2 linked regions of the Oryctolagus cuniculus genome follow. The protein of the gene in region 1 interacts with the protein of each later gene in a pairwise test. Links are inferred from orthologs where the notes say so. Each region holds a gene or a part of one and is shown in the gene's direction. Other genes may lie near its edges.

The links.
Region 2: the proteins of SHTN1 (region 1) and FABP3 interact in binary tests that used the Homo sapiens proteins (3 or more experiments, as listed by UniProt). The two-hybrid records come from large-scale screens. The link is inferred for Oryctolagus cuniculus from reciprocal best matches to the Homo sapiens genes SHTN1 and FABP3.

Annotation. Positions count from the first base shown.
Region 1 is NC_091446.1:13,376,349-13,380,845, forward strand, and holds the start of SHTN1 (shootin-1), read left to right. Parts: upstream 1-1,670; 5' UTR 1,671-2,251; coding exon 2,252-2,309; intron 2,310-3,566; exon of another isoform or gene 3,567-3,612; coding exon of another isoform or gene 3,613-3,616; intron 3,617-4,497. UniProt on the Homo sapiens protein: Involved in the generation of internal asymmetric signals required for neuronal polarization and neurite outgrowth.
Region 2 is NC_091438.1:140,999,188-141,003,694, forward strand, and holds the start of FABP3 (fatty acid-binding protein, heart), read left to right. Parts: upstream 1-1,471; 5' UTR 1,472-2,157; coding exon 2,158-2,230; intron 2,231-4,507. UniProt on the Homo sapiens protein: FABPs are thought to play a role in the intracellular transport of long-chain fatty acids and their acyl-CoA esters.

The DNA of each region.
Region 1 (4,497 bases):
TGGTGTAATGGGAGAGCTGAATCCCAGCAAGTGACTCTAGCAGCCGTCCCAATCATTCAGCCCATGCCCTCCAGATAATACCAGATTGTATTTCAGGAGGCTCTTCTCTTTCAGGGAGGGTCAATGGGATACATTTCAAGGGGCTGCCGATTCAGCGTGGGACCAAAACACTGGTTCAATTATCGATTTGACAATTCACTCATTCTTAAACTCCACTGATATTTCCCAACTACTGCATAGTAAGAGTGGACTCTTGAATCAGCCATTTGACAACTGGAGCTTGTGAATGAATCTGTATATACAGTAACAGCTCTGCTGACACCACGCAGAGTGTGAGAAGTGACTTCTGGTTTGGAGGGGCTCCTCCGCACGGCCCAGCCTCAGGACATGTTGGGGTTAGCAGGTTTCCTGGCTCTGCCATACGAAAGCCAGGCGGCCATGATTTATCAACTAAAATGTGTAGTGCAGCATCTCAGATGCATTTTTTTCATACCGGTGAGTCTGAATTGCGTCGTGTTTCCCAGACCTTCTCTCAACTCTGCCGACTAAGATTTGATTCCAGATGTGATTCCAGGGCAACTCCTGGGGCTCTGCAACCAACCTGCACCGTCCAGTGGAAACTCGGGGAGAGGACGGGTTAACAAAACCCCGTGGAGGAGTACTTGGAAAGTTTCAACTTTTTTATTCACTCTATTTTTAAAAGGTTGTTCATTTAGATCATTCTGCCACTGAGTCACTGAACGGCCATTTCCCAAAAACAGAAAACCAGGTTTTGAAACTTCTTCTGAGTTGGTATTTGGTAATGAGCACCAGAAGGTTACCAGATACAGGATTTACCAAAATGCCGCCCCTGCCTCTCCCGGGAAGGTCAGACACAGTCAGTGGAGCTGGGCCTGTGCACAGGGAACAGCTGAGGGCCGGCAGCACCGTGCTGGTGCCCTGTCCAGCTGGGGAGAAAAGGCAGGGTGTGCAGAAAGTCCGACTGAGTCTGGAATTGTTTGAGATGCTTAATGAAGAACGCAGAACTGTTTCAGCTTCTGATTCTCAACCACAACCCTGTTCTTGCAGACCTGTGATTTAAAACAAACAAACAAACAAAAACCACAGGTTGTGCACCAGAGAGCTAAGCTGCCACCTGCAATGCTGGCATCCCATGTGGAAGCGTGGTTCAGTCCAGGGCTGCTCTGACCCAGCACCTGCTAATGCGCCTGGGAAAGCAGTGGAAGATGGCCCACGTGCTTGGGCCCCTGCACCCATGTGGAGACTCCTGCTGGAGCTCAGGCCTTGGGGAGTGAACCAGCTGATGGAAAGTTCTCTCTCTCTCTCTCTCCTCTTCAAACAAACACACACAAACAAACAAACCTTTAAAATAAAAAGTATTCTAATTTCTGGATTTGGTGTTGGGTTCATTATTCTCCCAGGAGAGTAAGTATCACCATTCTCACTGTTCAGATCAAAGAGTGGAGGCAAAGGTGAACCAGAAGCCAGGCCTGCCACCTCCAACCCGCTCAGGGTCCACCCCTAGAGCTGTGCGGGACCAACGCTGGGCTCCCGCCCGCCAGGCCCTGAGGCCGGACAGCTGCGTGGGCGCGGGCGCTGGGAGTGCAGGGGCTGCCGAGGTCCCCCCTCCGCGGCCCACGTCCCGTCCGAGCAGGTGCGAAGGCCGGAAGCCCGGGCCCTCCTTCGCTGCCTGTGTGGCAGTTTCAGTGGTCGGCGGCCGCCAGGCTGCCCTGGCCTCTCCCGGTGCCTGTCCGGTGTCGGCCAGAAGCAATCAGTACGACCCTGACCTTTGCCTCTGCGGGCACCTGTTTCCCAACACCGGCCCCGCAGCCCGCCGCGCCCAGCACAGAGAGAGAGGGGCCTCCCGGGGACGCCGCGGACCCCTGGGGGGCCGGCCTCCTCCGCACGCGCGTCCTTGCGCGGTCGGCGGCGCAGGCGGAGACCCGCACGCGAGGCCGCGCGCCCCCCGCCTCCTCGCAGGAGCCCCCGCGGCCACGCCCAGCCCCGGGGTGCGCGACCGTGGGCTCCGCCCCGCCCCGCCGGGCGCAGGTGGCGCGGCCGCGGGCGCAGAGGAGGTGCGTGGGGGATGATCTCACCCGTGCGCTCCGCGCCAGGAGGAGGAGGAGCGGGAGCGAATCCAACTTCCGGGTAGTGGCGCCGCACGCCAGCGGCGTCTTCGCCCCGTCTTCCCCTCCCCCGGGTCCCCTCGCCGCGCCCTCCTTTCCTTTTATTCCCGGCCCCACCCGCCAAAATGAACAGCTCGGACGAGGAGAAGCAGCTGCAGCTCATCACCAGCCTGAAGGAGCAAGGTAGGCGCGCACGCGGGCGCCAGGTGCGGGCAGCGGCCCCGGGGGCGGGGACGGGGCAGGTGGGGAGCTGGGCGGGCGGCGCCGCGGCCGCCGGGGTCTCCGTGGGGCCGGGTCGCTGCGGCCACGGGGTCGCGCCGCGGGGAGCCGGGTGCTGGTGTCCAGGCGGTGGGGCCGGCTATGCGCCGGCGGGGCTTGGGGGGCGGGGGCGGCGCGGCGGGGGTCGCAGCGGTGGGCGCAGCGGTGGGCGCGGCGGGTGTCCGGGCGGCGCGCGGGGCCTTGTACCCCCGGCCCCGGCCCCACCCCTGCCCCTGCCCCCTCGCTGGCGCACCGTGGCCCGCAGCGCCGCCTCGCAGCCGGTCCACCTTTTTCACTGGAGTCGGTCCCGTTCCTCTTTTCTTGACCCAGCTGGGGGCTTTTCAGGCCGATGTGTTTTTGTCACTTCCCATTTTTAGCAATTGATGAATCCGAGACACCCCTGCTTCCTGAATTTGCGTCGGGCTTCCTGAAAATTGCATGGGCGCCGGGCGCGTGAAAGCCAGGCCGTGCGCACGCGTCTCCCCGCCGCTCGGTCACTGGGTGTTACCCTAGGATCAGGGGCTGCTCCCATCAGTCATTTTCCTCCCTGGCCGCACTTGGGAACAAAGCCACATCAGCACCAGCCAACACATTAAAAGCGTTCCCGTCATTATTGCCCAGAGAATATGGGTCGAGATGCAGAGAGACACCTTGCAGATTTGGGAAGTGAAAATCTGCAGGATTAGGGGCCTCCCTGCGCGGCTCCGCAGTCAGGCCACGTGCCCTCTCCGGGGTCAGCTCGCAGGGCTGTGAACCTGCCCGCCCCTCTTGCCTTGTGGGGGCCGCTGTGGTCCATCAGGCCTTGCCTGGGGCGGTGCTGTCCAGGCGCAGGACCTGTTGCTTCCTCATCCCCCTGAGCCACACTCTTGGGCGTACAGATGCCCACAGCAGTGCTCGCTCTGTGACCCCGGAGAAATGACTGAGTCCCCCTGCGTGGAGAGAAGGTGCTGGGCACGCGGTAGCTTCTTGCACCCTCGCAGCACCTGCACCTCCCGGCCTAGAGGAGCCTGGAGTCGTAGTCACGCTCTGGACTTGGCAAGCTCTCTGGATGTCAGGTCTGTCCATGGACGGTCAGTTTCCAAGTAAGGGTGACAGAAAAAATACTACCTCCTTTCATACAGTACGTGGTTTCCAGGGTAGGCTGACGGTGCAGATAACCGACATGTTTTTATTTGATTTTAGAACCTGCTCTGTCTCTTGGATTTGAGGGCTGAGAAAAAAAAGGAGGATGTGTAAGTTCCTGGCTCCTTCTCATATTGGAAACCAAATCCGTGGTTTCGGTAGTTTTAGAGGGTGTAGTTCTTTGGTTACGAGCACACCAAGGGAAGAGAACGGTTAGACTTGGGAGTTTGTGTTGATTTAAAGGTAACCTCTTTTTGGAAGTGAAGTCTGGTGACACAAGTGCTGGATTTTTTTTTTTAAGCCCACAGTGTGATTTTTATACTTCTCAGAACCAGGGTGTGTGCCTGCAGCTCGTAGACTGTGATAACAACGGGTTTGTTTCAAGAGGATTGAATTGGTGTTTGATCTCTTGAACTGAGAAACTGGGGATTTGAGGTGGACAAACAGGCAGCTAGGTCTGTGGGTACTTAACATCAGGTCATCAGTTTTACCAGCTGGTGGTGTGTGTGCGTTTTGTTTTTGAAAACAGTACTTTTTACTACCTGTTAGCACTGTGTCAGTGCCACCCCCCCCCCCAAAAATGTGAATGAGAAGAGCTGATATTGATTAACTACTCCATATTCCTTTCTAAATGCTGAGTGAACTGACCATGGATGGGACTTACGTGCTAGGCCCCGCGGTTGTAGGTAGTGGGCCACATAGCCCTTGGAGTCAGCAGGTTTTTTTGTCTAGTCGTTAAGTAAACATACAAATGAATGCACAGTTACAGATTTTTTTTTATAGGCTCGAGTCTTAGAAATGGAACTGGAGTATTAGAGGGAACACATACACAGCATTTTGTGGGCATGGCCGAAGTGCCCCTGGGAGGACTTCCCAGCCGGCACTGGTTAACACTGTGTACTGGTTAACACTGGCTGCTGGCCATCCTTATTTCTGTCATAGCTTGACGAGTTTCTGAATCTTTGTCCAAAAAATGACATCTTCCAAAATG
Region 2 (4,507 bases), on another chromosome or scaffold:
AGGGCCGGCTCTGTCAGAAATTCATTCACACTGCACAGTCTCTGGCAAAAATGCCCCTCCCATCCCCTAACTATGGGGGGGGGGGGGGTGTCTTTTGTTTTGTTTTGTTTTGTTTTGTTTTGTTTTTGTTTTGTTTTTGTTTTTTTTTGGACAGGCAGAGTGGACAGTGAGAGAGAGAGACAGAGAGAAAGGTCTTCCTTTTGCCGTTGGTTCACCCTCCAACGGCCGCTGCGGCCAGCGCACTGCGCTGATCCGATGGCAGGAGCCAGGTACTTCTCCTGGTCTCCCATGGGGTGCAGGGCCCAAGCACTTGGGCCATCCTCCACTGCACTCCCGGGCCATAGCAGAGAGCTGGCCTGGAAGAGGGGCAACCGGGACAGAATCCGGCGCCCCGACCGGGACTAGAACCCGGTGTGCCAGCGCCACAAGGCAGAGGATTAGCCTAGTGAGCCGAGGCGCCGGCAGTTTTTGTGTTTTTAAAGACAGAGTTACAGAGATGGGGGGGGGGGGAGATTTTCCATTCACTGGTCACTCCCCAAATGGCCACAATGCCAGAGGCTGGGCCAGGTTGAAGCCAGGAACTCCATCCTGGTCTCCCACATGGCAGGGGCCCAAGTCCTTGGGCCATTTTCTGCTCCTTTCCCAGAGAGCTGGATCTGAAGCGGAGCAGCTGGGGCTGCATCCAGTGCTGACATGGAATGCTGTGAACCCAGGCAGGGGTTTAAAGCAGTTTAACCTGCTGCACCGTAACGCCTGCTCCAGGGATTTTGTTTTAAAAGTTCAAGGACACAATGTTCTTAAGGCCCTTTGGGGTGTGAAATAAGGATCAATACACATTAACACTACCATAGGTCTTACTGTTCTGTAAATTGTCAAGTGTCAAACACTGGCACAGGCTCTTTAAGGGAGGTGAGTCCTGCCCCGAGGTTGTGGGGCGTGGGGTTGAGCCACCACCTGCATTGTCTGTATTCGGTAGGAGCCTCACTCCCACCCACCCACGTGGCAGACCTGGCTGGAATTCCAGGCTCCTGGCTTTGTGCTGGCCCAGCCCTGTCCTTGTGGCCATTTGGGGAGTAAACCAGCAGATGGAAGATCTCTGTCCGTCATTCCCTCTCTCTGCCTTTCAGATAAATCTTCGAGAAAAAAAGATAAGGGTAGTGTAGGCTGACTTGCAGGAGTGCAGAGTGCAGAAGGCAGGCGGTGGAGTCCCACAGGGTGGGGGAAGGGGCCTCGGGCTGATGGAATTGACAGCATTTCAGAAAGAGGGTGAGGAGAACAACTTGCACAAAAGCTCAGAGATCAGAAAATCTTGGAATGCTGGCAGGGCTGGGTGGGGAGTTGGGCTCCAGGTGAAAGGCACCTGCCGGGGCAAGCAGGTGCAGAGCGGGCGCGGTGCGGGCGCCGCGCCAGGTAAGGGTCATACTTTCACCCGGAGCAGGCGAGGACTCAGGGAAGCTCGGCCGCAGATGTTGCCTCCGCCGACTTCCCTGCCACCAGGCAGTGGGAGCCTGCTAGCCCAGGTTTGCAATTCCCCCTCTCCTAGGTATTCTTGTGACCTTGTCGGCTGCCCTGAGTCTCAGGCTCCTTCCTCGTAAAAGGACAGATATCTGTGTCACAAGGGTCAACCAGAGCTTTCCCCAGGGAGTACCAACCCAAGGGCGAATTTCCTTTCTCCCCCATTCTCATCTCTGCTCGGACTCCAAGCTCAGGCTCGTTGTGGAACTGTGGGGTGGAGGAGGTCCGCGGCGTGCGCCCTAGCGCGGCGTGCGTCCCGGCTCGCCGCGCGTCCCGGCTCGCCGCACCCGCTCCAGGGGTTTCCTTCTCGGATTCCCAAGAGCGCCGAAGACAGGGAAGGGCGCAAGTCCTGAGAGCCTGGGGCAGGGAGTCAGAAGCCAGGCACCCGCGCTGACGCAGGCAAGCGAGGTGCCACGGGTTTGTCCCCTCCCTCCTTGGCGGGCTGGGGGAGGGGCGGCCAGCCCCTCGCGGGTGAGCGCCAGCCCGGGGCTTCCTATTTCGGGAGCCACTGGGGGGCGTGGGCCACGTCTCATCATGTGATGCAAGGGCTATTTAAAGCGGTAGCTCGGCTAGGGAGCCGCTGCTCCGGGAGTCTTTGCACGCCTGCTGTCTCACAGCTTCTCAGCCTCGCTCACTTTCACCATGGTGGACGCCTTCGTGGGAACCTGGAAGCTGGTGGACAGCAAGAATTTCGATGACTACATGAAGTCAATCGGTGAGTGACCAGCGGGGCTCAGGATGCTGGGTTGGGAGGACGAGCCCGGCACAGCGCTCCTGCGTGGCTGCTGCCCTGTGCGCCCCGGCATCCTGCCTTGATTAAGGTCGGAGAGTAGAGGAACGCGGGGTTGGCAGCCCGGGCCGGGGAATGAGGGGCCCCCGGGAGGAGGTTTTCCTGGTCCCACCCTGGGAGAGGGCTTTCCAGGTAGGGAGACACAGGAAGGAGAGGCAGCTGTGCCTGTAGATGTGGGGGCAGGGCGGTGCTTTCGAGGAAGACCGGCAGGTGGGAGGCTGGGGAGGCGAGAAAACCAGGAGCATGGGTGGTCTGGAAATGTCAGGCGACTGAACCTAGAAAAGCAATGGGGCTGACAGAGTGTACTATGGCCTGTAGAGATAGGAGATACCCGGTAGGAGGGAGCTTGAGTTGGGGAAAAGGTGCATTGTTGAATCGGATAAGGGGAAGAGGTGAGGCCGGGATCTGCTCAGCTAGCAACAACCCCTGCCTCTCCATGTGGGGTTGGGTAAGAGGATTCTCGCTGGAGGCCCTCTTTTCTCACCGGCCAGTCTGACCTTGTCCTGCAGAGGTATGTACGCAGGCCTTGGTCACTGTGAGAGCCGTGGGAGAGCGTGGGAGAGTGTGGGAAGAGGCCCATCACCAGCTAGGGCCTTTTCTACAATCTGACGCTGAACCAATGCAGTGTGGGGGACAGGGTGGAGAAAGCCATCGCCTTCTAGGGTGCAGCAGAGGGTGAGGAGTGTTGGTCCAGGAGGCTTTGGCTTGCTGTGTGGTGTTGGGATGAAGAATAAAGACCCAAAGATTCTTACAGGCAAGAACCGTGGACATGGCTATAGCTTGCTTAGCTTAACAGAAAGGGAAACCGAGATCCAGACGGAGGAGGATCTCCTACCAATTCCACAGCTAAGCTGTTAGGAAGACCCAAGATTTCTAGATCCACAACCCAGAGCTCTTCCCACTACCCTACGGGCATTGTGAGTAGGACGCAGGGGAAGGGATTAGCGGCTGTCAGGTCTTCCTGTCCTGGTTTGGGCTTACAGCATGTCACCCTTTCTCTACAATTCCCAGCTATGAGACTAATCTAGTCCAGCAGGCTGGAATAGGGACAACTGGAATGGTGCTCATGGCTGAGCTAGGTCCATGATTTCCTCCCATGGCAGGAGGGCTGCAAAGGGGTAGGGAAGCCCACTTCCTATACCTTACACCTCTGCTCCTCACTCACTCCCGGAACAGGGCCTCCAAATACAGCTCCTGAGGCCAGAGCTGCCCCTGCACCTTCCTGGGCTCTGTGCCAGTGACTCCAGGAAGACTGCATTCTCAGAGAAGCAGGGGCCCCCGGCAGCTGTTGGGGAAGCCGGAGGGCCCAGGTTTTGTTTCTTCCCGCGAAGCACATATTAGGGCCAAAGAGCTGAATCTCTGAATTGAGTTACACCAGCCTTACTACCCTGTTCAGCTTCAGCCAGGAGCAGGTATCCCTGGAGACCTGTTCCTGGGCAGTTTCTTACGTGAGGGCTGAGACTCTCTTCAGCCTGCTTTTCCTCATTGCAGAGAAAAGACCCTCAGCTCTCGGTAAATGGCTTTGGCTTCATTTCTAAGGAGAACCCGGCTCTTCCCAAGTCTCCTAAATTCTGCCCAGTTCTTACTTTCCCACACTCATCCCATAGTGATTTTCCTCCTCAAACACTCCACACCTCTGGGCAGGTCCTAAGCAAACAGAGCTCCAGGTGCAGTGACAAGACCCTGCTCTGTGCTGGGGATTGACCAGCCTGGGTCACTTTGACACCAGCTGGCAAGGCCAGGTCCCTCACTGGCTAGGCAGCCCATCTCTCTCATTGCAGACAGACCAAGGGTTCTCAGGGAGCAAAAGTGTGGTACCAGTGACCACAAACAACTGGTGGTCTGAGTGCCTGAACCAAGAATGTGCTGGGCAAAATGACCCAAGTTTTGGAGCCTAGGTTCAAATCCAGGTTAATCAGTGACTGTTTTCAACTCAGCCAAGATACTTCACTGGGCCTCATTTATAAATTGGGGATAATAAAAGCTACCCTATAGCATTGTCCTAAGCATTAAGCAAAGCAACTCGTGGGCTCATGCAAACTACCTAGGTGCAGGATGGCATTGTGGCACAGTGGGTTAAATCGCTGCTTTGACATCAGCATCCCCTATCAGAGCTTTGATTCTGAGTCCTGGCTGCTCCACTCTCAATCCAGCTCTCTGCTAATGAATGCACCTGGGAAGGCTACTGGCTTCAGCCTAGCC